Sus scrofa: one gene and its partner. The protein of the gene in region 1 binds, or shares a complex with, the protein of each later gene. Links are inferred from orthologs where the notes say so. Each region holds a gene or a part of one and is shown on either strand. Other genes may lie near its edges. The genes, in order: EIF3G and EIF3E.

Region 1 (12,530 bases):
CCTAGTCGGATTCGTTAACTACTGCGCCATGACGGGAACTCCCGTGTTTCCAGTTCTTATGAAGAACATGGAGAAATCGAATTCCACCGGTGAGGTCCAGAGTTCCCTGTAGCTGCTGCTGAGTTTCCAGCAGGTGGTGCACCTTGCACATCCACACTTCCTTCCTCATGCCCTTTGCAGGATGCTCTCCTGGTTGCTGTGCTGTCCTATGGAGATTTTTCTTTTTTCTTTTCCTCCATTCCTGTGGCAATGTGGAAGTTCCCGGGCAAAGGATCGGAGCCCTGCCACAGCAGTGACAATGCCAGATCCTTAACCACTAGGCCACCAGGGAACTCCTCTTTGGAGATTCTGGAAGTGGAAAGAATGTCGGTGCCGTAAGGAAGGACCAAAAGAATGGTGATTTTTTTTTTTCCCCATCCAGCTTTGGACTCAGCCTTCTCCCCACTGCTCTATACTCCTTTGGCCCCCCTTGTACTTTTCCTTGGAAAATATCCGGGTTTTTTTTTTGTAAAAATAGTACATGCTTGATGTTTAAGAAAAAGTATGCCATACAGAAAGTTACTGAAAAGGAAGGGCAGGCAGACCTTGGAGATACTGCAGTTTCATTTCCAGACAATGGCAGGGAAGCACATATCAAAATAAGTACATAAATAATATGAATATTGCGAGTCACAAATTTTTGGTTTCCAGTGTATATAAAAGTAAACTGCAGGAGTTCCTGCTGTGGTACAGTGGATTAAAAATCTGACTGCAGCTGTGCCTAGGATTTGATCACTGGCCTGGGAACTTCCATAAGCTACAGATGGGTGTGGGGAAAAAAAATTGCTTCCTAGGGATCAGCAGGAGGCTTAACCTACTGAGTGAGGCCAGGGATCAAACCCCACATCCTCATGGATGCTAGTTAGCTTCTTAACCCACCTGACAAAAATTGGCTTACAAAAATTGCTTCCTAGGGAGTTCCCATTGTGGCTCAGCAGTAACCCAACTCGTATCCATGGGCACTCGGATTTGATCCTTGGCCTCACTCAGTGGGTTAAGGGTCCAGCATTGGGGTGAGCTGTGATGTAGGTCACAGAAGAGGCTCGGGTCCTGAATTGCTATGGCTGTGGTGTAGGCCGGCAGCTAAGCTCTGATTCAACCTCTAGCCTGGGAATGTCCATATGCCATGGGTGCCAGCCATTTAAAAAAAAAAAAAAAAGTTCCTATAGCATATGTCATTTTCTAGCTTGTTTACTCTCATCTTAGACATTTATTTATTTATTGTCTTTTTAGGGCCGCACCCATGGCATATGGACCTTCCCAGGCTAGGGATATAATTGGAGCAGCAGCTGCTGGCCTACACCACAGCCACAGCAATGCAGGAGTTTTAACCCACTGAGTGAGGCCAGGGATCAAACCGCGCATCCTTATAGATATTATTCGGGTTCTTAACCCACCAAGCCAAAATGGGAACTCCAAGATATATATTTTTTTAACATGTCCCACAAATGGATCTATTTCCTTAAAGACTGCATAGCACTTATATTGATGACAGAATAGCATAACTTGCTCTATTCAACCAACCTGGAATGGACAGATAGGCATTGCCAGTTTTTGCTATCATGAACAATACTGCCTGGATAGCTTATTCTCATATCTTTGTGTGTATTTACAAGTTTTTCTCACAGGCTGAATTATTAGCTGACTCAAAGGAAAATATATATGTGCATTTAAGTTTTAGTAGATATTGTCAACATTCCATCTAAGAGTTTACATAACCTCACATACTAAGAAAATATGGGAGAGTCTTTTTCTCTACATCTTTGCTACCATTGGGTAATAGCAATTTTTTACAGTTTTGCCCATCTGCTCCATTGTTTGGATTTTGTATTTCTTGGAGTAAACTTGAGTGAGGTTGCACAAATGTTTATTGGCCCTTTGTACAAACTTTGCATTTTTATCTGGGCTGCTAGACCACCCTCTTTCTTTTTTTTTTTTTTTTTTTTTTTTTTTTTGGTCTTTTTGCTATTTCTTGGGCCGCTCCCACGGCATATGGAGATTCCCAGGCTAGGGGTCCAATCGGAGTTGTAGCCACCGGCCTACACCAGAGCCACAGCAACACGGGATCCGAGCCGCGTCTGCAACCTACACCACAGCTCATGGCAACGCCGGATCGTTAAACCCACTGAGCAGGGGCAGGGATCGAACCCACAACCTCATGGTTCCTAGTCGGATTCATTAACCACTGCGCCACGACAGGAACTCCTTTTTTTTTCACCCTCTTTCTTTCACTCATTTTCCCAGCCTCCTTCCTGGTCTCCTACTTATTTATTCCTTTCCATTCTATTCTCTACATGCTTCCAGAATAATCTTTCTCATAAGAAAATCTGATTACATTGGTCACCACTCAAAATATGTCAGTGACCATACAGCCTGCAGGGTAAAGAGCCTATCCTCCTTAACCTGATTTAAAAATTCTTTTAGGAGTTCCCTGGTGGCCTAGTAGTTTAGGATCTGGCACTGTCACTGCTGTGGCTCTAGTCACTACTGTGGTATGAGCTCAATCCCTGGCCTGGGAACTTCCAAATGCCACAGATGAGGCCAAAAAAAAGTTATTTATAATCTGGTTCCTGTCCCATCCCAAATGTCCATTAATTGAACACATACTAAGTACAGACACCCCATGGGTGTTGGGGACCCAGAGATGACCCAAATAGGCAAATGTCTGCTTTCTGCAGCTGGCATTCGTGAGCAGTTTTTCTCAACTATTTTTTCATTATTGCTCCTTTCTAGGTGAGAAATGGAATTATCCTTAATTAATTAATTTTGTCTTTTTAGGGCCACACATGCAGCATATGGAGGTTCCCAGGGTAGGGGTGGAATTGGAGCTATAGCTGCTGGCCTATGCCACAGCAACATGGGATCTGAGATGGGTCTGCAACCTACACCACAGTTCATGGCAACATCAGGTCCTTAACCCATTGTGCAAGGCTACGGATCCAATCTGCATCCTCATGGATGGGAGTCAGTTTTGTTGTTTTTTAATTTATTTAATTTATTTATTTGTCCTTTGTCTTTTTAGAGCTGTACCTGTGGCATATGGAGGTTCCCAGGCTAAGGGTCTAATCAGAGCTACAGTTGCTGGCCTACGCCAGAGCCACAGCAACACCAGATCTGAGCTGTATCTGCAACCTGTACCACAGCTCACGGTAACACCGGATCCTTAACCCACTGAGCAAGGCCAGGGATTGAACCCACAACCTCATGGTTCCTAGTCGGATTTGTTTCCGCTGCACCATGATGGGAACTCCTGGATGGGAGTCAGTTTCGTTTCCACTGAGCCACAACTGAACTCCTATCCTTAATTTAAATCAATTTAATCTAATTACATTTAATTTTCCCCTAACAATAGAAATTAAATATTCATAAGTAATATTTTGTCCTGGAGGGTTGGCTTAGGAGGGCTATAAGCCATCACAATGTCTAAGGTTTTTTTTTAAGCCATCTAAGAATTTATTTTGGCTCTCTTGGGAGCCATATCACTCCCGTTGAGAATGCTCTAGGGGGACAGCTGGATTATAAACAAGTAAATGGAAAAGATTATATTAGAGAAGCCAAGAATGTTACTAAAGGAGGGAGGGATTTTCCCCAGTGGCTCAGTGGCTTAAGGATTTGGTGTTGTCACTGCTGTAACTCTGGTCACTGCTGTGGCACAGGTTCCATCCCTGGCCTGAGAACTGCCAAAAAAAGAAACAAACAAAAAAAGATGGAGTTCCCATAGTGGCTCAGCCATAAGGAACCCAACTAATATCCATGAGGATGTGGGTTCAATCCCTGGCCTAACTCACTGGGTTAAGGATTCAGTGTTGCTGTGAGCTGTGGTGTAGGTCGCAGATGAAGCTCAGATATGGCGTTGCTGTGGCTGTGGTGTAGGCCAGCAGCTGTAGCTCCGATGAGACCCCCTAGCCTAGGAACCTCCATATGCTGCAGGTGCAGCTCTAAAAGGAAAAAAAGGAAAGGAGGGAGAATGGTTGAAGGGGCCACTTGACTGCTTGATCATTTTGAATCAGGAAAGCTCTTCCATCGCTTCTCGGCCTTTTGGCTAAGATCAAGTGTAGGAAAGCTCTTCCCAAACAAGGAAGACTAGCTTTGGTTTCTTCAGCTGTAAAATGGAAATAATTTTCTCTCCACAGTTCTCGCAGAATTCAATAACTGAGCTTTATTGCTATTAATAACTTTTTTTTGTCTTTTTAGGGTCGCATCCACCACCATGCAACATACGGAGATTTTAGGGCCTAACCCACACCCGTGGCAAATGGAGTTTCCCAGGCTAGGGACTGAATCATGGCTGTAGCTGCTGGCCTACGCCACAGCCACAGTAACACAGGATCTGAGCCTCGTCTGTGACCTACACCACAGCTCAGAGCAACGCTGCATCCTTAACCCACTGATCAAGGCCAGGGATCAAACCTGCATCCTCATGGATTCTAGTCAGATTCATTTCCACTGAGCCATGATGGGAACTCCTGTTATTAATAACTTTAAATTTTTTAAAAGGTAAATGAATTAGAAAACTATATATAGAACTACCATATGACCCAGCAATCCAACTCTTGGGCACATATCCAGAGAAAACTGTCCTTGAAAAAGATACATGCGCCCATATGTTCATTGCAGCACTATTTGCAATAGCCAAGACTTGGAAACAACCTAGATGTCCATCGACAGATATGGATTAAGAAGATGTGGTATATATACACAATGGAATACTACTCGGCCATAAAAAAGAACAAAATAATGCCATTTGCAGCAACATGGATGGAACTAGAGACTCTCATACCAAGTGAAATAAGTCAGAAAGAGAAAGACACATACTCTACAATATCCCTTGTATCTGGAATCTAATATATGGCACAAATGAAAGTTTCCACAGAAAAGAAAATCATGGACATGGAGAACAGACTGGGGTTACCAAGGGGGAGGGGGAGGGAGTGGAATGTACTGGGAACTTGGAGTTAATAGATGCAATCTATTGCCTTTGGAATGGATAAGCAATGAGATTCTGCTGTACAGCACTGGGAACTATATCTAGTCACTTATGATGGAGCATGATAATGTGAGAAAAAAGAATGTATACATGTATGTGTGACTGGGTCACCTCGTTGTACAGTAGAAAATTGACATAACACTATAAACCAGCTATAATGGAAAAAATAAAAATCATTAATTAAAAAAAGAAGATAAATGAGTTCTTGCTGTGGTGTTGCTGGTTAAGGACCTGGACTTGCTACAGCTGTGACATTGGTCACAGCAGCGGCTGGGATTTGATACCTGACCGGGGAAACTTCCATACGCCACCCGCGGGGCCAAAAAAAAATGGTTAGAACTGCGCCTCTACTCAACTACCTAGTACCAGAGCCCAGCCTCTAATAAGCCAGCGCCTCTACCTCTGTCCACAGGGCGGCACTGTGGGCGCAGCGGCCGGGCTGCTCTAGGCGGCAGAACCGGAAGTCTCGTTCTCCCCACCTTCCGGTCTTTGGCCCAGGCTTGGGCTGCGTGGGGAAGGTTTTAGCTATGCCTACCGGAGACTTTGAGTGAGTATGAGGTCGTGGAGGGGGGCTTGGGAGGCAGATTGGGGGTCCTAGGGCGTATTATGGGGCTCGGGTGCCCCGAGGCCGTGGGATCCGGGCCTCGTCTCACCCAGCCTTCCCCCGCGGCAAACTTGTCCCCGCAGTTCGAAGCCCAGTTGGGCCGACCAGGTGGAGGAGGAGGGAGAGGACGGTGAGTTTGCCCTGTTGCCCAGGATCACCGCAGCCAGCCCCCAGCCCGTCACTGCCGCCTGCTCCAACCCCACCACCCCGACCCTGGCGCCGTTGTCTGACCCAGAATCTCCCTTCACGGCCAGCCCCTGCCCCGCGCCATCCTCATCAGGCCAGCCTGTATCTCCCATTACAGTTGTTCACCGGCCAGTCCCTCTTCCTCCCATGCCACCGTCAAAGTCCTTGGTACCAGCCTAGCTGCTCCCCTGCTCCGGGGAGGAAGTTGTCACAGCCTCTCTCCTGTCTTTGTACTAGCACGGGGATGCCTTTGGCCCGCCCCTGCCTTCATGCCTGGGATCCTCTATGCCGGGCATTGCTGGAAGTCACTACAGTCAGCTCCATGTCCCTGCACGACTCTCCCAGGACACTTCCTGGCTAGTCCCCTACCCTTGGTCCCACCTTTCTTAGCTCCCGGGAGGGGCATCATCCCAAAGGTCCCTCCATTTCAGCTTGGGAGCTCCCCCACCCCCCAGCTGACCCCAGCTCCCCACACTCCCTCTCACAGACAAATGTGTCACCAGCGAGCTCCTCAAGGGAATCCCTCTGGCCACCGGGGATACCAGCCCGGAGCCTGAACTACTACCGGGAGGTGAGTGACAACCTCCCCGCCATCCCTGGGTTGCCTCTTCCCCTGCAGAGTTCCTGCCTGGTCCCCAGTACCCAGGGCTCAGTTCCTCTGTCTCTCCCCCTCTCCCAGCTCCACTGCCACCTCCCAAGGAGGTCATCAATGGAAACATCAAGACAGTGACCGAGTACAAGATAGATGAGGACGGCAAGAAATTCAAGGTGAAGGTTGGGGGAGGAGGTAGATGCCCTTTGCTTGGGGGCTCTTGGACTAGGAGAAAGTGGTGTGTGCTGGGTGGGTTGATGAGGAAGATACCCTGGCCCAGGCCCTCGGAACCTTAAGGAGCAGGAAGCTCAAATTTCTCCCCTCTCCTACCCACAGATTGTCCGCACCTTCAGAATTGAGACTCGGAAGGCCTCAAAGGCTGTGGCAAGGAGGAAGGTAAGACCCTCCTCATCCTGTCTTGGGGCCTCCCCCAGGGCTGACTCAGAGAAAATAAGAATCCTTTTCCCCAGTGCCTGTATTTATTTGGCTATGCCCGGGGCATATGGAAGTTCCCGGTTTACGGGTTGAATCAGAGCTGCAGCTGCCAGCTTACACCACAGCTACAGCGACTCGTGATCGTAGCCACACCTGTGACCTAACCCACAGCTCAGGGCGATGCCGTGTCCTTAACCCACTGCGCAAGGCTGGGAATCGAAGCCATGGATACTGCTGAGCCATAATGGGAACTCCTTAACTGTACCAATTTTGTTGGAGCGGAACTGAGGCCTAAGGGTGTTTGCACTCTGTCGGGGTCCTGAAAAGCCCAGCATGTGCAGGAGTAGGGGGGGTTGTCCGCCAGCAGAAACAAAGCCAAGTCCTCCCCTGAGATGGTCGTAGCAGAAAAAGTCATGGCAGTAAATACATTTGGCACAATTACCTGTGCGCTTTCTCTGCGTTAGACCCAAGCTCTTTGCAGGAAGCGTTTTCCCATTCAGTTCCCCTGGAATTCCAGGGAGGTGGGGGTCCATTGGGGTCCCTTTTCCTGGAGGAGGCAGCTAGGGTTCAGATTGCTTAGCTAGCTCTGGGCCCCTGGAAGTCTGGGTGACCCCTACGCACCCTTGAGCATCACTCCCTGGTAGGAGCTGGTCCGCTACCTGCACCACCCCAGCAGGAGTTGTTGGCTGTGGAGGGGATTGTCCCTGAGCCTCAGTCCTCTAATCTGGAGCATGGAGCCTAGAGCTGCCCTTGCCTCTGGAACTGGTGTGAAGCTAGGGCCTGGCATGCGCTCAGGGAACAGGAACTGTCTTTGTCACTGCTCTGAGGGTCATTTGGGGGAGGCTGGAGAATGGGGTTCAAGGCCCTGGAGCAGACATTGTAAGTCTAGGGAGCCAGCAGAGGGGTCCTGCTTGGCCTTGCTCTGACTTGTCTCTCATCCCACCCTGAGCTCAGAACTGGAAGAAGTTTGGGAACTCAGAGTTCGACCCACCAGGGCCCAATGTGGCCACCACCACGGTCAGTGATGATGTGTCCATGACATTCATCACCAGCAAAGAGGTAAGTAGGCCAGGAGGCTGGGGCCAGTGGCCAGGGTGGTGGCGGCAGTGGCGGGGGGTGCGGCAGTCCCGTCTGAGCTGCCTCTGCCTGCCCTGCCAGGATCTGAACTGCCAGGAAGAGGAGGACCCAATGAACAAGCTCAAGGGCCAGAAGATCGTGTCCTGCCGAATCTGCAAGGGCGACCACTGGACCACCCGCTGCCCCTACAAGGACACACTGGGGCCCATGCAGAAGGAGCTGGCCGAGCAGCTGGGCCTGTCTACTGGCGAGAAGGAGAAGCTGCCTGGAGGTGCTGGGGCCTGGGGACTCGGGGGACAGGGATTGTGTTCACCTCCAGGAGAGTTGTAGGTTGTCACCTGCTGTCTGAACAGGGCCACCGCTGTTGGCAGTTGTCATCTCCCACACAACAGCAAGGCTGCAGCCACAGTCCATGCTTGTGTGTGTGTATGAGAGAGACTGGCGGTGGCTGCTGTGACTGCTGGCGATGTCCCCTGTCCTCTCCTCATTAGGGGCTGTGAGAGCGGCTCGTGTAGGCTTGCACATAATAAATACACTTTGCCTGCAGTGTCTGCATGCACACACCCAGGGCAGACTCACTCATGTGACTGTAAGTTTGAGTCTGGACAGCTCTACGCCCCTGACTTATGTGTGCGACTCATTTGTCACCTGCCGTGTGTGTGTTGGGGGACAGGGGGTGGAACCTGGGGACTGTCCCTATCCCGTGTACCTGTATTTGTGTTCCTATGTTGTGAGACTGGGTGTCACTGTGGGTTCTCACTTCTTGTGCTGCTGGCGGGTGTATAAATGACGTCGGCTTCCCGGATGTGACTTTTAAGTTGTGGCCCTCAGGCCTCGAAGGGCCCAACCGTGTGTGTGGTTTGACAGACGGCTCTTGGGCTGGATGGTGGCCAGAGCTGCCGGCATCCTGGGGCAGATGGGTCCCTCCATCTGTGCCGGGAGAGGCTTGACCCGACCTTGTTGTCCTCCAGAGCTGGAGCCTGTGCAGGCCACACAGAACAAGACGGGCAAGTACGTGCCTCCAAGCCTGCGGGACGGGGCCAGCCGCCGCGGGGAGTCCATGCAGCCCAACCGCAGAGGTGAGGGCACCCAGTTGCCGGGCCGGCGGGGGCGGGCACTTCCCTGTATCCTGTGATCATCCCACGGGCAGGCGCGGCCCCTCACAGACACCTCTCCTTGCCCACTCAGCCGATGACAATGCCACCATCCGTGTCACCAACCTGTCTGAGGACACTCGTGAGACCGACCTGCAGGAGCTCTTCCGGCCCTTTGGCTCCATCTCCCGCATCTACCTAGCCAAGGACAAGACCACTGGCCAGTCCAAGGTGGGCTGGTGGCCATGGGGATGGGGAGGGATCCTTGGTCCTGTCTGTGCCCCATGTGCCCCTGACTCCACCCCCTCCTCCAGGGCTTTGCCTTCATTAGCTTCCACCGCCGTGAGGATGCCGCCCGTGCTATTGCTGGGGTGTCTGGCTTCGGTTATGACCACCTCATCCTCAACGTCGAGTGGGCCAAGTAAGACCCCTGCCCCTCCCCCCACACAGCGTCACTGCTGACACTCAGGCTGGCTGCAGGCCCTGCACCAGGTTAACATTCACCATGCCTGTCCTGGGGCACAGATCATTTATTGTCCTTTTCCTCTGGTGTGGAGGGTTGGGGCAGGACCAGGCTGGTCACTGCCGGTCTGTCTCTTTGTGTGTCCTGGGCCACCACCTTGTCTCACTCTGCCCCACCCCCCATCCCTTTTGAGGTCCCTATTGTGTGTGGCGGTGGGGGGTCTTGGGATTCTCTTAGGGGTATGAAGCCTCTCCGCTAACCATTCTCAGCCACCTCACGTCTCTCTCTCTCTCTAGGCCGTCAACCAACTAAGCCAGCTGCTGCTGCTCCGTCCCCAGCCCTGGGATCCTTCAGTGACCGAAGGCTGGGGGCAGGGGTCTCCAAGGGTAATAAAAAATCTCCAGTTGCCCAGTGCTGTTCCATTTATTCACAGATGTCGCTCACACTGTTGGGGGGTGGGGCCATCCTGCCCTCCTTCCTCCCCCTCCCTGATGTGGGTTTATTTCCTGGCCCTGTCCAGAGTTGGTGCTGTGGCAGAAGTTCCTGCCACTCTGGCTTCAGTGCTCCCTGGTCCCACTCTAGACCTTTCTGTGGAGGAGTACGCTTAGGGCCTATTGAGGATTCAGGGCCAGGGGCCTGCTGTGCTCTCAGCCCCTATTCTTTTGCCAGGTCCCAGGATCTGGTGATGAGGAGGGGGCTAGAGATGGTCCAGGTCATGGGCTCAACTCAGGGGACTGGGGCCCTGAGGTTTTGGGAGTAGCTGTGACATTGAGTGGCAGGGATTGGCTGGAGCACTCGGCCTTCTCCGGGGTCTGGCCCTCCCTGCAGCCAAGGCAGTGTTGGCGGCAACAGCCCAGGCTGGGCACCACCGCCATGTAGAGCAGCGGGTGGATGCAGATGGCCAGGGGGATGAGGCCCCGTGTTACCTGGTAGGCCACATATGTCCTCCAGTCCAGTGCCTTCTCAGCCTGGGCTGTGCTTGTGAAGCCTGGGCAGAGGGCCCTCCAGCGCTGCCGGGCATACACGTTGAGCACCTGTGTGACATAGTAGGGCACATAGGAACTAGCATAGAGGGCCACACCACTGGCTACCAGCACTATCACGTGCAGCTTGTTGGCCGCTGTCATGCCGTGGCTACGCCGCACGGCCCGCCCCAGGGCGCCATAGGCTGCCAGGTTGAGCAGCAGCGGCAGGCCACAGCCCAGGGCCAGCAGCACCAGGCCATAGACTCTGTAGGCCTCAAGCTGGTTGTCATCTGCCGTTCCTAGGCACTTGATGCAGGCCTCCGGTGTGGCCACAGTGCACCTGCCTTCCTGCTTCGGCCTCTTCAAGTGGGAGAAGCTGAGTGTGGGTGCAGCCAGCAGGGCTGCCAGCACCCAGCCAGCAGTGCTGATGGCCCAGGCGTGCTTGGGCTGCAGTTGGCTGTGGGTGAAGAAGGGATGGACAATGCCCAGATAGCGGTTGAGGCTGATGCAGGTGATGAAGATGACGCTACCCAGCAGGTTGCAGGTGAAGAGGAAGCGCTCCAGGCGGCAGGTGACCTCCCCATAGCGCCAGTGTTTGGGTGGGTAGAAGTAGGCAGCCAGCGGGGGTAGTGTCAGGGCATAGAGCAGGTCGCTGATGGCCAGTTGGGCGGAGAAGATCACGGCTGGGTGCCATGGGCGCTGCTCCCGTGTGCAGAAGCGGTACAAGGCCAGACTGTTGCCAGCAAGGGCCACCAGGAACTCAGCTACCAGCATGGGCCACAGAAAGTCTTCCTGGAAGCCACTGAGGATGCGGTCAGCAGCCGCTGAGAAGTGGGCTGGACAGTCCTTATCACCTGTGGGCAGAGGGTGTTGCTGAGTGAGCCCTGTCCCTGAACCTGGCACCTGCTCCCTTCAGAGTTCCAAGTGCCTCTGGCACCACATACCTACCACAGACTGGGCCTGCATCAGCCCTATGCGAGCCCAGTTTCACTGAGTGCTTTTTCACACCTGGCAGTGGGCACCAGCCACAGCTCCTTTGTGTGGAGGAAATCGGAGGCCCGGATAGAGGCCTTTCATTCAGCTGATGGTTACCAGGTTCTCTTTGTGTCCCGCACCATCAAGAACCAGCTGGGGAGAGTTCCCATTGTGGCTCAGTGGGTTAAGAACCCGATTAGTGGCCATGAGGATGTGGGTTCGATCCCTAGCTTTGCTCAGTGGGTCAGAGATCCCATTAAGGAGTTCCCGTTGTGGCTCAGTGGAAACAAATTTGACTAGCATCCATGAGGATGCGGGTTCGATCCCTGGCCTCACTCAGTGTGGGTTGAGGATCTGGCGTTGTGATGAGCTGTGATATAGGTTGCAGACGCAGCTTGGATTCTGAGTTGCTGCGGCTGTGGTGTAGGCTGGCAGCTACAGTTCCAATTTGACCCCTAGCCTGAGGGGCTAAAAAGACAAAAAAAAAAAAAAAAAAAAATCAAATCCCGTTAAGATGCAGCTTGGATCCAGTGTTGCCGTGGCTGTGGTATAGGCTGGCAGTTGCACTTCCAATTTGATCCCTAGCCCAGAACTTCCATTTGCCATAGGTATGGCCATTAAAAAAAAAAGAAAAAAAAAAGCTGGGGTGAGAAACCATGGATACATGTAACCTGGTAGTGATGACTCAGAGCTCTCAGATGGAGCCCAGGGGAGTATCCCCTATCCCACCAACTACACAACTCTAAGTGCCATCTGTCAGTAAGTTTCCACCTTTGGAGTCTGTCACCCGCTTAGTGAGTGCCACGGAGTCCAGCTCCCACCATCTACCTGGACCAGCACAGTTGGCTCTGCCTGAGTCTCCCTGCTCCCGCCTTCACCCATCTTCTCTAACAGCCTCCAAAGGGCACCCATGGACACCTGAGTCCATCACATCCCTATGCTCCCAAGCTTCCCAGGCTCCCCCCTCACATGGAGGAGAAACCAGTGCTCACCTCATCTCATGAGGCACTGAAGGAGCTACTTCCTCCCACCCTACTTGCTCTCCTCTCCCTCTCCCCTGACTCAGTCCTTCCCACGCTTGCTCGCTTATGGAACAGCCTGCTTCAGGGCCAT
Region 2 (11,454 bases), on another chromosome or scaffold:
CACCCATGGCATATGGAGGTTCTCAGGCTAGGAGTTGAATCTGAGCTGTAGCTGCTGACCTACACCACAGCTCATGGCAATGCTGGATCCTTAACCCACTGAGAAGGCCAGGGATTGAAACTGCATCCTCATGGATGCTAGTCAGATTTCATTTCCACTGAGCCATGATGGGAACTCCTCTATTATTAGTTTTGAATGAAATTTAGGAATAAACTGATAGTTGGGTTTTAGGATTAAGCTGGCAGCTATGTAAAATTGATTTAAGAAGAGACTCAAGAGGCAGGTTAATTAGAAAACTAGGAGACAGTAATGGAACCTGAACTAGGGTAATGACTAGGGTAGGAATCAGACAGTATTTATTAATTACTTCCTGTGTCCTGGGCATTGTGCTAATTCTGGATATATAGCCATGAACAAGGAAGCTATGGTGCGTGCTGTTGGGTTACATATACAGTCCATCATGAAAGCAGATATTTAACAAAACAACTACAGCTTTATGAATGCTCTGAAAAAATAGCAGGCTGTGAAAGCATCAGATGTGTCATGGTTGAGAGAGGTATCTTGGAAGACTGATGAGGGTGCTGTTTTATATGAGACCCATGTAACACATAGCTAAGTGAAGAGAAAGGTGGATGAACCTTTTAAGCAGAAGGCACAGCATGTGCCAAGGCCCTGAGGTGCTTCAAAACCTGGCATGTTTAGTGATTGTAGAGGTTCAGTCTGGCCAGAGGAGAGTCTTTCAAGAGGAGAGTAGCTTGGATCTCAGATCTAGTTAAAGAGATAATTATAGGACTTAATAGTTGGATATAGTTATCAAGAAGAGGAGTCTGATAACTTAGGCTTAAGACTAAGTATTTCATTATAATTTTAATTATGTAAACAACCTCCATAAGTAAGTTTTATGTTGTAATTTTTAAAAATCTTCATAAAACCAGCTATACACAGTAGCCACTAGGAATGTTTCTGTTTTTTAAAAGTATATAGAGATAGTGAAGGTTGAAGTTTTAATATATTTAGTACAAATTTTTTCATTTATCTTTTCAGAGTAAAATGGTCTTGGCCCCACTTTATTTTGTTAAAAAAATTTTTTAGTGGTAATAATTGTCACTTATCTGCTACTTGAAGGCACATCCTACAACTTGGAATGCTGTCCTCAAATCCTGAGAACTTACAGTGGCTGTATGCTTTAGACCTGCTCCTTGTCCAGTGGTGCCAACTTTGTTTTTTTCTTTTCCTTCTCCTTTCCCTTCTTATTTTAATTTCACCTCAGTCCTTTAGGCTTTTCCTAAAACCAAGGTTGCTGCAGTGGCTTAAATGTTGTTTCTTCCAATGTCTAGGACCGCTTTTGTCTTCCACACTGTTTTTCTTATGGTCTCTCAAGCCCACAGGGAAGCTCGGGATGGAGAATCATTCTAAGGGCTTTGCAGGTCCTAATGTAGGCTGTTGCTAGGGTTCAGGAAATCTGAGGAACATGCTTTTCTGGTTGAACAGCTCTGGCCAGGAGAATTCCACCTTCTGTCCACACTTTTTATCCCTCCACCACTTCTGCCTTATTGAAATTGTTCGGCAGTGTCATTCTGCAGCATCATATTTTCCCAGATCTTCTGGTGTTGAGGGAATTGGGGAGGATATGGGGGCTGCATCAAGCCCATGTTGGAAGGGTATGTGAGCAGAGATAATTATGGAGCAGGTTTCAGGCTCTTGAAAACCTGATGCCAGCTCCTTTGAGATCCTTTTCTCCCTTAAGAAGGTCATGCACTTCAGCATTAACATTTGTTTTAATGTTCTGAGATCAAAATTATCTTCCTGTTCTGCTGCTCTTGGAGGGTTAGCATCACAGAAGAGAAGGAAACATACACATCTCTAAAATAAGTCATGCACCAGCAGGAAACATAAGGAGTTTATTGAGGAGCCACAGGAAACACCAGCTGCAAGAATTTTTTACTAATCAAAAAAATTCCTGATTGTTTAAGTAAAATGACTTAATATTTCCCTACTTTTAGTTGTTAAAGTGAAGTGAGATTTGGTTAGAGAACAGTGATAAAGAAAATAAAGTGAAATCAGTTCAGAAATTGCATAGTCAGGGACTCATTTTTCTTTATGTTTGCTAAGACTGTGTACTTACAGCAAAATTGATCGTAAAAATCCAAAGAACAAAATTTGACATGTAAATCCAGGGAGTCTTATGGTTGAGTTGGCTCATACTCATCATCATGTTTTTAACTTCAGGCATATTTTAGAGATAAAATTGAAATGATTATGTCTTCATAGATTTAGTTTGTAATAATTTTATTGTTAGCATTAACTAATTTTTTACATTTTGAATGAAATTCTCCTACCTCTTTGTCAATAAATACATAAAATAAGGATGGCAAAGGTCTATATATATTATTCCCATAAAGGTATTTTTATTAACTTAATTGGTTATTTTTGTGTTGGTTGTTCTGGAATTACATAATTATATGATTGCAGTGTCTTGAATATTTATATTTTAAAATTGGGAATGCTATCAGATCAGGAAATTTTAGCTCGTAATATTCTAAGGAATTAATTTGTTATTGGTATTCTGGCTCTTTTCATTAAACTAGTATTAGCATTAGAAAGCCTGGCAAGTTTGTAAACCTAACGAAGACAAGCAAAAGGGGACAGTTAATGTTTCTGTTTAAACATTTGTATATGCATATACATATATATATTAGCTTCTTAAATACTATACATGCTTACATAGATACTCTTTAATTAGCTGACTGACTGACCTACTAGGCTTGTGCCTGTGTTAGTCCTGATAAGTTAAGCCCTGCAGCAGCCTCTTTTTCTGCCTGATCATAAATTAGAAAATGCAGATGACATCAAAGACATTAGTTCATAGATTTGGGTCTTGGTGTGTCTCATCTTTTTTCCTCCCCTTTCCTTTTCTTATGTTTTCTTTGTATGTTTGTCTGTCTCTTTTCCCTTAAATTCATTGGCCGTTAGGTTATATACTATACAATTCTAGGGAGTGTCTTCAAAATTTATAACACAAACATACATAGCGGCCCTGAGTTTTAGTTATGCTTTTCATTGTATTATAATTGTTACTGATGCTCCCTGTAATTGGTTTAATTTGTATACTCAAATATTTAATATTAAATATTAAACTGATACTCTACATCAGAAGATATTTTTCTTCTTTAGATCATTACTGGTTAAGCACCTGGTAAGTGTAAGATACTTTTCTGGAAGCTAAAAGAATTTCTGTAAATGCAGAATATGGGACACTTCCCTTAAAGATCTTACAATCTGATTGGTGAAATGAGATGGACTGTGAACAGTACAAGATAGTAATAGCACAAACATATGAACAGTAGTTTTAAAAGTCATAATATTTAAGATAAAGTGGCTCTTAAATACCTAAAAGTTTCTATACATAGTATAGGTCAAAGACTATGTATATAAAATAAAGCTTTTAGACTCAGTTAATGTCTTTTTTGTTTTTTAATTAGCATGTTGGCAGATAAACTGAATATGACTCCAGAAGAAGCTGAAAGGTGGATTGTAAATTTGATTAGAAACGCAAGACTGGATGCCAAGATTGATTCGAAATTAGTGAGTATTATGATAGCTTTGCTACATACTAGAGAGATTATTTTATATTTTGGAGGGGGGCTTTCATTAGGAAATCTATTCTTCTCTATTAAGAATTTATTCATGTATAGTAGTTCCTTGAAGGCAACAGCTACCTCCTGTTTTGTGTTATTAGATGAATATTGTCATCTCTCTACAGTTCAGAAAAATATGTGCAGCAGGCAGGTAGTGTTATGGTGTCATACTCATGACTTATGTGGGAAACTCAGTTGTTAACATTACAGGATCAATTTCCCTCTGTCTCATTTTAGGGTCATGTGGTTATGGGTAACAATGCAGTCTCACCCTATCAGCAAGTGATTGAAAAGACCAAAAGCCTTTCATTTAGAAGCCAGATGTTGGCCATGAATATTGAGAAGAAACTGAATCAAAATAGTAGGTCAGAGGTAAGAACCACACCTATTCTGTCTGGGATTTAGCAGTAATGTAACATAATTGTCAAAGGGGCTTCACTTGGAAACAAATTAATATTGGTTGTATCTGATTTTGTATTTGTTTATTGGGGGTATAAACTATTTTGTTTAAGAAATTACTAAACTGAAAAGACAAAAAAAAAAAAAAAAAAAAAAAGAGTTCCCGTCGTGGCGCAGTGGTTAACGAATCCGACTAGGAACCATGAGGTTGCAGGTTCGGTCCCTGCCCTTGCTCAGTGGGTTAAGGATCCTGCGTTGCCCTGAGCTGTGGTGTAGGTTGCAGACGTGGCTTGGATCCCGTGTTGCTGTGGCTCTGGCTTAGGCCAGTGGCTACAGCTCCGATTCAACCCCTAGCCTGGGAACCTCCATATGCTGCGGGAGCAGCCCAAAGAAATAGCAAAAAGACAAAAAAAAAAAAAAAAAAAGAAATTATAAACTGAAAAGAATTTCTCTTAGATATATTATGCATTAATCGAGGAAGGTAAAAAATGTGTTCGTAGTTTATTATATTTTTTTCCTTTACTTGTGTGCCTTCATTAACTCATTTCCTCGGTGTTTTCAGCACATTGTTTTGATACTGGCAAATGGTAATTTACATGTGTTGATCTCTTTCAAGTACTTGAAATTTGTGGTCCTTTTAAATCTAAAGAACTTCTTTGGAAGTGTTGACCTTATTATATCTGTTAACATTGATCTTATAGAATTTGATTTTTATCTGATATTCATATTTAACTGTCAGAAAAATATATCCCCCTTTTTGATAGAAATTTTGCATATTAGATATTAAAGGAATTTGAATGGCCTTGTTAAAAAGACAGAAGAATTAAGAAATTGTCCTTGCCTATTACAACCAAGTCTAGAATGATTGAACCTGAAAAATAACTTTTATACAATGGGTTTTTTTCCTACATGCTTATGGATCAGTCTATATTGATTTTCGTTATGGTATTGATGATACTGTCATTGTTATACTTTATAATTGGTCAAAAACTGTTCCAGGGTTTTTTTAAATTTATTTTATTGAAATATAGTTGATTTACAATCTTGTGTTAGTTTCTGATGTACAACAGAGTAATTCAGTTCTTTATGGATATACATGTGTATGTATGTGTATATGTACATACATACTCTTTTCCATATTCTTTTCCATTATGGTTTGTTACAGTATATTGAATATAGTCCCCTTTGCTATACAATAGGCCCTTATGTTTATTCTATATGTAATAATTTGCATCTGCTAATTCCAAACTCCTAATCTATTCCTCCCCACTCCTCTGCCCTTGGCAACCACAAGTCTGTTCTCTATGTCTGTGAGTCTCTTTTTGTTTCATAGATAAGTTCGTTTGTGTCATATTTTAGATTCCACACATAAGAGATATCATGTGGTATTTGTCTTTCTCTTTCTGACTTACTTGGTATGATAATCTTTAGGTCCACCCATGTTGCTTCACATAGCATTATTTCATTCTTTTTTATGGGTGAATAATATTCTGTTATATACCTAATCAGATGGTATTTTGATGTGTTTGTTTTGCTCTAAGTGAGACACCTCACATTTAGTAATTCCAGGATTTGTTAAAATCTTAAAGAATGTTGTAGAAGTAATGCTGAAAAAATGCTAGTGTCACTTTTTTCTAAGGTAGCTTTTCAGAAAATATTTTTCACTCTGTTTCTCTTTGTATTTTAGGCTCCTAACTGGGCAACTCAGGACTCTGGCTTTTATTGAAGATCTGTAAAGAAAAATGAAAAAAAACTGTAAAAGAAAGATGAAATAATAAAGCCATTATATAAAGGTGAAGCATTTTAGAAACAACATACTGATTATAAATTTTGGAGATTTTGAATAAAATTGGCTGTGTTTCATTTTATTTCCTTGTGTATGTAAGTGTTTGCTTTTTATTTTTAATTTTTTTAATTTTTTTGGTCCTGCATGCAGCAGTTTGATATGGATTAAACCCCAGCCACAGTGGTGAAAGTACAGAATCCTAACCACTAGCCCACTAGGGAACTCCTCAGTGTGTGCTTTTTTTACCTTTTCATTTTGGAATAATTATAGATTCACAGGAAGTTACAAAAATAGTACAGAGAGGTCCTATGCAACCTAAACCTAGTTCGTTTTTAATGTCAAAACTAGGATATTGACATTGGTACAGTGGTGTGAATAGCTCTGTGCCATTTGAGCATTTTTTTGTGTAACCATCACTGCAGTCAAGATATAGAGGTATCATCCTCATAAAGGTCTCCCTTATGCTACTACCCCTTTGGAGTCACATCCACTCCCTCCAGCTCTAACCTCTGGCAACCATCAGTCTGTTTTCTGTCTCAATAATTTTGTCATTATGTAGATGTTAATAGCAATGGAACCATACAACATGTAACTTCTTTGAGATTAGTTTTTTCTGCTCATGATACCCTTGAGATCTGTTCAAGTTAGATATATATGTATTCAAGTTATATATATATAAAACTATTCAAGTTATATATATATCAAGTTATATAACTATTCAAGTTGTATATGTATCAATAGTTTGTTCCTTTTTATTGCTAAGTTGTATTCCATGGTATTGATGTAACACATTGTTTAAATCCATGTACCTATTTTGGGAAATTTTGGTTGTTTGCAGATTGGAGCTAATAACAAATAAGCCTGCTGATAAAGTGCTGTTAGTTGAAGTGGCTTCTGCAGTCACTCTCTAGACAGCTACAGAGACTTAAATAGGATTATAAGTTGAATTTTAGAAATACCTCTCCTTGAATATCATACACACACACACACACACACACACACACACACACACACACACACACAGTTAACTGGCCACCTGTGATATTTAAGAAGTACATAAAGCCCTGGTTGGCTCTGCTTTACTTAGAAGTGATTTGATTTTCACTTCGATTGTTAAACTAAAACTCAGTCACATAAGAGAATTTTCTGTTTCTGCTCTCAAGGAATGGTACAAAGATAAAAAGATACTTGCATATTGTACCTGATCAGGCCACCCTCAATATACAGTTAAGTTTGAAGAAGGCAGGCCAGATTTGGGCTTTGTGCTGAGGTTTCAGACCTCTAGTCTGTAGTATTGGTTCTTCCAAACTATAACACAAAGATGCTGAAGCTAGGGGGGAGACTGCTGATCAAGGTATGCCAAATGCTAATTTTTGATTCATCTATAACTAGTGTTGTGAAAATGCCAAATCTAGAGGATGACTTGTATTACAAAATGATCAAGATTCATAGAGAAAATGTACCAAAATGTGGCATAGATAGAAACATACCCTTCTTTTTTTTTTTAAATAAGGAAAATTTCTTGAATTTCGTGTCATTCTTGCTCAGGGGCCATGCTAATCTTCTCTGTATCATTCCAATTTTAGTATATGTGCTGCCGAAGCAAGCATAAAACAGACGCTTCGCCTCATTGTAGGAGCTAATTCCCTGGGTCAAAAGTACAGATCTATAAGAAATGGAGCAATAGTTACATAAAACTGTATAAAATTGTATGTATTACTCAGGCTGTGTTAAAGTGGGAAGAATGTTAAAATGCCAATGTTTCTGTCTACCAATGACCCAAGGGCAAAATGTTCTTAAAGTCATCATTAATAGTCACTTTTTATCTTAAGACTTTTGCTCAACCAAGCCATGTTAATAGCAAAGATTTCTAGGTGATTATATCACCAGTAGTTAAAAGCAAGTCTGGCAGTTACTAGAAGTGTCTTAGAGGATGAGTAAAATCTGCAGGGAAAAAAGATAGGATGCTAATTCTAAGCATTTACTATGTGTCAGGCATTTTTACATCACTTTTTAATTTTTTTATTATTTTTATTTTTTCTTTTATAGTTGATTTACAATGTTCTGTCAATTTCTGCTGTACAGCAAGGTGACCCAGTCATGCATAGATATAGACATTCTTTTTCTCATATTATCCTCCATCATGTTCCATCACAAGTGACTAGATATAGTTCCCTGTGCCTTACAGCAGGATGTCATTGCTTATCCACTCCAAATACATCTATATATCTGAACAACCCTAAGGAAAAGAAAAGGAATGCAACATTTGAGTGCCACTGTAATTTTTGTGCTGATATTTGTATATTGATTAGGAAACACACAGGTGGTTACTCAGGGTCATACCTAGTAAATGTTAAAGCAAGGAATTGAAAACAGGCCTTTTCAGTTACACCATGTCTCCTTAGATCATTATTGCCTTATAAATCAATCCAGACTAAATTTACAAAGGGTTTAAAGAATATATGTTTAGTAGATTATAAATGAGGATCTTGATCCAGAAAACTATTCAAGTCCCTTGGCACCATTATCTTCAAATGAGAGGAAAGGGTGTTTTCATGTGTGTGTGTGTGTGTGTGTGTGTGTATAAAACTCCTGTGTAAAGATTTTAAACATACCTACTTAACCAAAATCTCCTTACTTAACCAAAATCTCCTCAGCTTAAGAAATTGAATGTTCGAAGTAACTCTGAAGAGCTCATGGGGCCCTCTCTGATTGTATTTTCCTTTGCCCCTGAGAAGTTAACCATTACCATTACCATGATTTTTATGGTATATGATATATATATATATATATATATATATATATGTATTTCCTTAAATTTCTTGGTAAGGAACACACACCATTAAGAAAAGTAAGGATATTAACACATTCCTATCAAAAATGTCTGGTTTTATGTATTTCAACATGTGTAGTTAATTGATAATACTTTGTATTCTGTGGCTTGCTTTGTCAATACTGAAATTTACCCATATTGATTTATTCTTGTTGGTATATTCAGCTCTAGTCTATTCGTTTTTAACTGCTTTCTAGTATCCCATTTTCTGAACGTACGTATTTCATTCAAGCATTGATAAACACAAGGTGTTTTCCAGCTTGTTATCTGGTGTTTTTGGAACCAGCCTGACGATCATGTGTTGCCTAACTGGAAGGTTAAATTCATTTCCTTTTATTGTGATTATGAATGTATATGGACTTATTTCTACATCTTATGAGCTTTCTGTATGTACCGCTTTGGCTCTTTTCCACCCTATTTTTTGCCTTCTGTTTTTTGGTTTTTTTTTTCTTTCTTCTACTAGTTGAGCAACTGAACGTTCTCTTTTTATAGTGGTCACCCTAGAAACTTTAGCCCTGTGTATTTTAGGGCATTCCAGTTATGATTGAGCGGTAACGAACCCAACTAGTATCCATAAGGACGCGGGGTTCAATCCCTGGCCTGGCTCAGTGGGGTAAGGATCCGGTGTAGCTGGCTTGGATCCTGTATGGCTGTGGCCGGCTGCTGTAACTCCAGTTCAACCCCCTAGCCTGGGAACTTCCATATGCTGCACGTGTGGCCCTAAAAAGCAAAACAAAAAAACATGTATTTTGGAACTTAATGCCTTAAAATTAGTATCTTTGGCCCCTGCCAACAATATGAAGAAAGCTTTTACTGTAGTTATCTTTCTCAGTTGTGTTCATCATCTTTCCTAATATAATCTTTTACTTTTATAAATTAGATATTATTTTAGACAATAATACCCTTTCTCTTGTTTATTCTCTTTGTAATTAGACTTTTTTTGTAAGTTGCTTTTAGGATCTCCTTTTCATTGGTGTACTATAGTTTTGCAGTGATGTGTCTCAGTGTGAATTTTATTTACTGGTAGTTACTCATTGGACCTCCTGATTCTGAAAATGCCTTTTGTCTTGTGTGAAAATTATCTCTTTGGATATTTTTTTCTTGATTCCTTAAGTTTTTGAGTTCTCACTCCAGAAAAACCTTCCCTTTCATATTTTTTATCTCTGTCATCTGTGCTGCATTGGGGTTTGGATAATTTCTTCAGCTCTGTCTTGTAACTCATTAATGATCTCTCCAACTGTGTCTAATTTGCTGTTAAATACATTCAGTTTCTTTTTTCAATGATTTTCTTCATCTTTGGTAGTGTCTTATACTTTCAATGCCCACTTGTATTCTTTAAATTTATTTCATATTTTGTGTTTTGAATCTACCTACTTCTCTGCCACTATTCTTGTCCAATATCCATCACTTAAATCAAAACAGTAGCTTCTGAATCACTTTCCCTGTAACTGATGTAGACCCCCCTTTCAGTCTCACCTGTTTTCTATATTTTAGAGTAACCATTTTCAATTTAAATCGGATTGTTTTCCGTCCCTGATTATAATTCTACAGTGGCTCCCCATTGTTCTTAGCCTAGAGACAGAATCCTTTACCTGGCCTTCATTATCTGCTTGCTGCATCAGCCCCATTATATCCCAGCCTCAAGCCCCACTGGCCTCTCAGTCCTTTAAAAAGTAGCTTCAAGCTATTTTGACTGCTGCAGACTAAGAAAAACATTTTACATCATGACCTAATACTATAAAGAGTAAATATATGATGCAAATATTTTATAAAACTGTATACCCTTTCAATATGTAATCTATCTTTTTCTATTCTTTTTTTTTTGTTTCATACATCTAGTTGGTATCAATTCATATTTGAAAAATACTCCCTAAAGAGCAGCAGTCTTTTTTATATCATTATGTGCCAGAAGCACACATGTACTTCAGTGTTTATTTTTCCTCCAGAACTCAACTCATATATCAAAGTACGTTTTCTTTTTCAAGGAAAGTTTCCATGAGTCTCAGACTAGGCTAGATTCTTCTCTTAGTCTCTTGTATTATTTATCCCACTTCTAGTTACACTAATTTCATAATTAGTTGGTTAATATCCACTCTAGACTGCCATTTTCATTTTTTTTTAATGGCTGTATCTATCTTGTTCATTGCTGAACGTAATGCCTGGCTTATATTAGGCCCTTGATAAATTAGTGAACAAATGAATGAATCTTTTTCAGAATGGTACAGTATAAAAAATTGTGCACTTGGAAGGAGAAAGTTTAATAAAAGAACCTGTTTCGAAATTAAGTCTTCCACAGCCCTTCTCCATAAGTTCATAGTTGATGTCTAAGACACAAACACAACAATATAATTTGTTAAGTATTAGTGTATGTGAAGACACTTAGACTTATGAAGTGTGTTATAGGATACTTTTTTTATGGTTAGGGCTAGTTGAAAACGTTAAAATCAACACAATGTACAATTTATGAAAGATTTCAAAACATTTTTTTCCCTTTGTCTTAGCTCTTTCTTGCTAATGGTAAAAGTAAAAATAGAGGCATATATATATTCTAATGATTTCGGATGTTTTCCATCCTCTGTACTTCCCAGTGGTAAGGAAAACAGTCGAACAGCATTAAACTATTGACTTCCAAAATTACAACATTGTGAACTCAGAATTCTATTTGTCAGACCTCTGTTGATACCCACATCTGGCCACTGTTTTGTTTTCCAGCTGTTGGATGTGTGGACAGGGAAGAGGTATGGGTATCCTCATTTATGCTCAAGCATCCTGCAGAAGTCATTTGGGAAGTAAACACT

Evidence for each region.
Region 2: EIF3G (region 1) and EIF3E share a complex: the UniProt entries of both Homo sapiens proteins name them as parts of the eukaryotic translation initiation factor 3 (eIF-3) complex. The link is inferred for Sus scrofa from reciprocal best matches to the Homo sapiens genes EIF3G and EIF3E.

The regions. Positions count from the first base shown.
Region 1 is NC_010444.4:68,963,579-68,976,108, reverse strand, and holds EIF3G (eukaryotic translation initiation factor 3 subunit G), read left to right. Parts: upstream 1-5,460; 5' UTR 5,461-5,553; coding exon 5,554-5,573; intron 5,574-5,713; coding exon 5,714-5,760; intron 5,761-6,303; coding exon 6,304-6,387; intron 6,388-6,495; coding exon 6,496-6,584; intron 6,585-6,744; coding exon 6,745-6,804; intron 6,805-7,797; coding exon 7,798-7,902; intron 7,903-8,001; coding exon 8,002-8,191; intron 8,192-8,891; coding exon 8,892-8,999; intron 9,000-9,108; coding exon 9,109-9,245; intron 9,246-9,328; coding exon 9,329-9,435; intron 9,436-9,773; coding exon 9,774-9,789; 3' UTR 9,790-9,888; downstream 9,889-12,530. Other genes in the region: P2RY11 (P2Y purinoceptor 11), read right to left, coding at 10,191-11,296. UniProt on the Homo sapiens protein: RNA-binding component of the eukaryotic translation initiation factor 3 (eIF-3) complex, which is required for several steps in the initiation of protein synthesis.
Region 2 is NC_010446.5:29,337,689-29,349,142, forward strand, and holds the end of EIF3E (eukaryotic translation initiation factor 3 subunit E), read left to right. Parts: intron 1-3,482; coding exon 3,483-3,585; intron 3,586-3,875; coding exon 3,876-4,010; intron 4,011-5,724; coding exon 5,725-5,763; 3' UTR 5,764-5,905; downstream 5,906-11,454. UniProt on the Homo sapiens protein: Component of the eukaryotic translation initiation factor 3 (eIF-3) complex, which is required for several steps in the initiation of protein synthesis.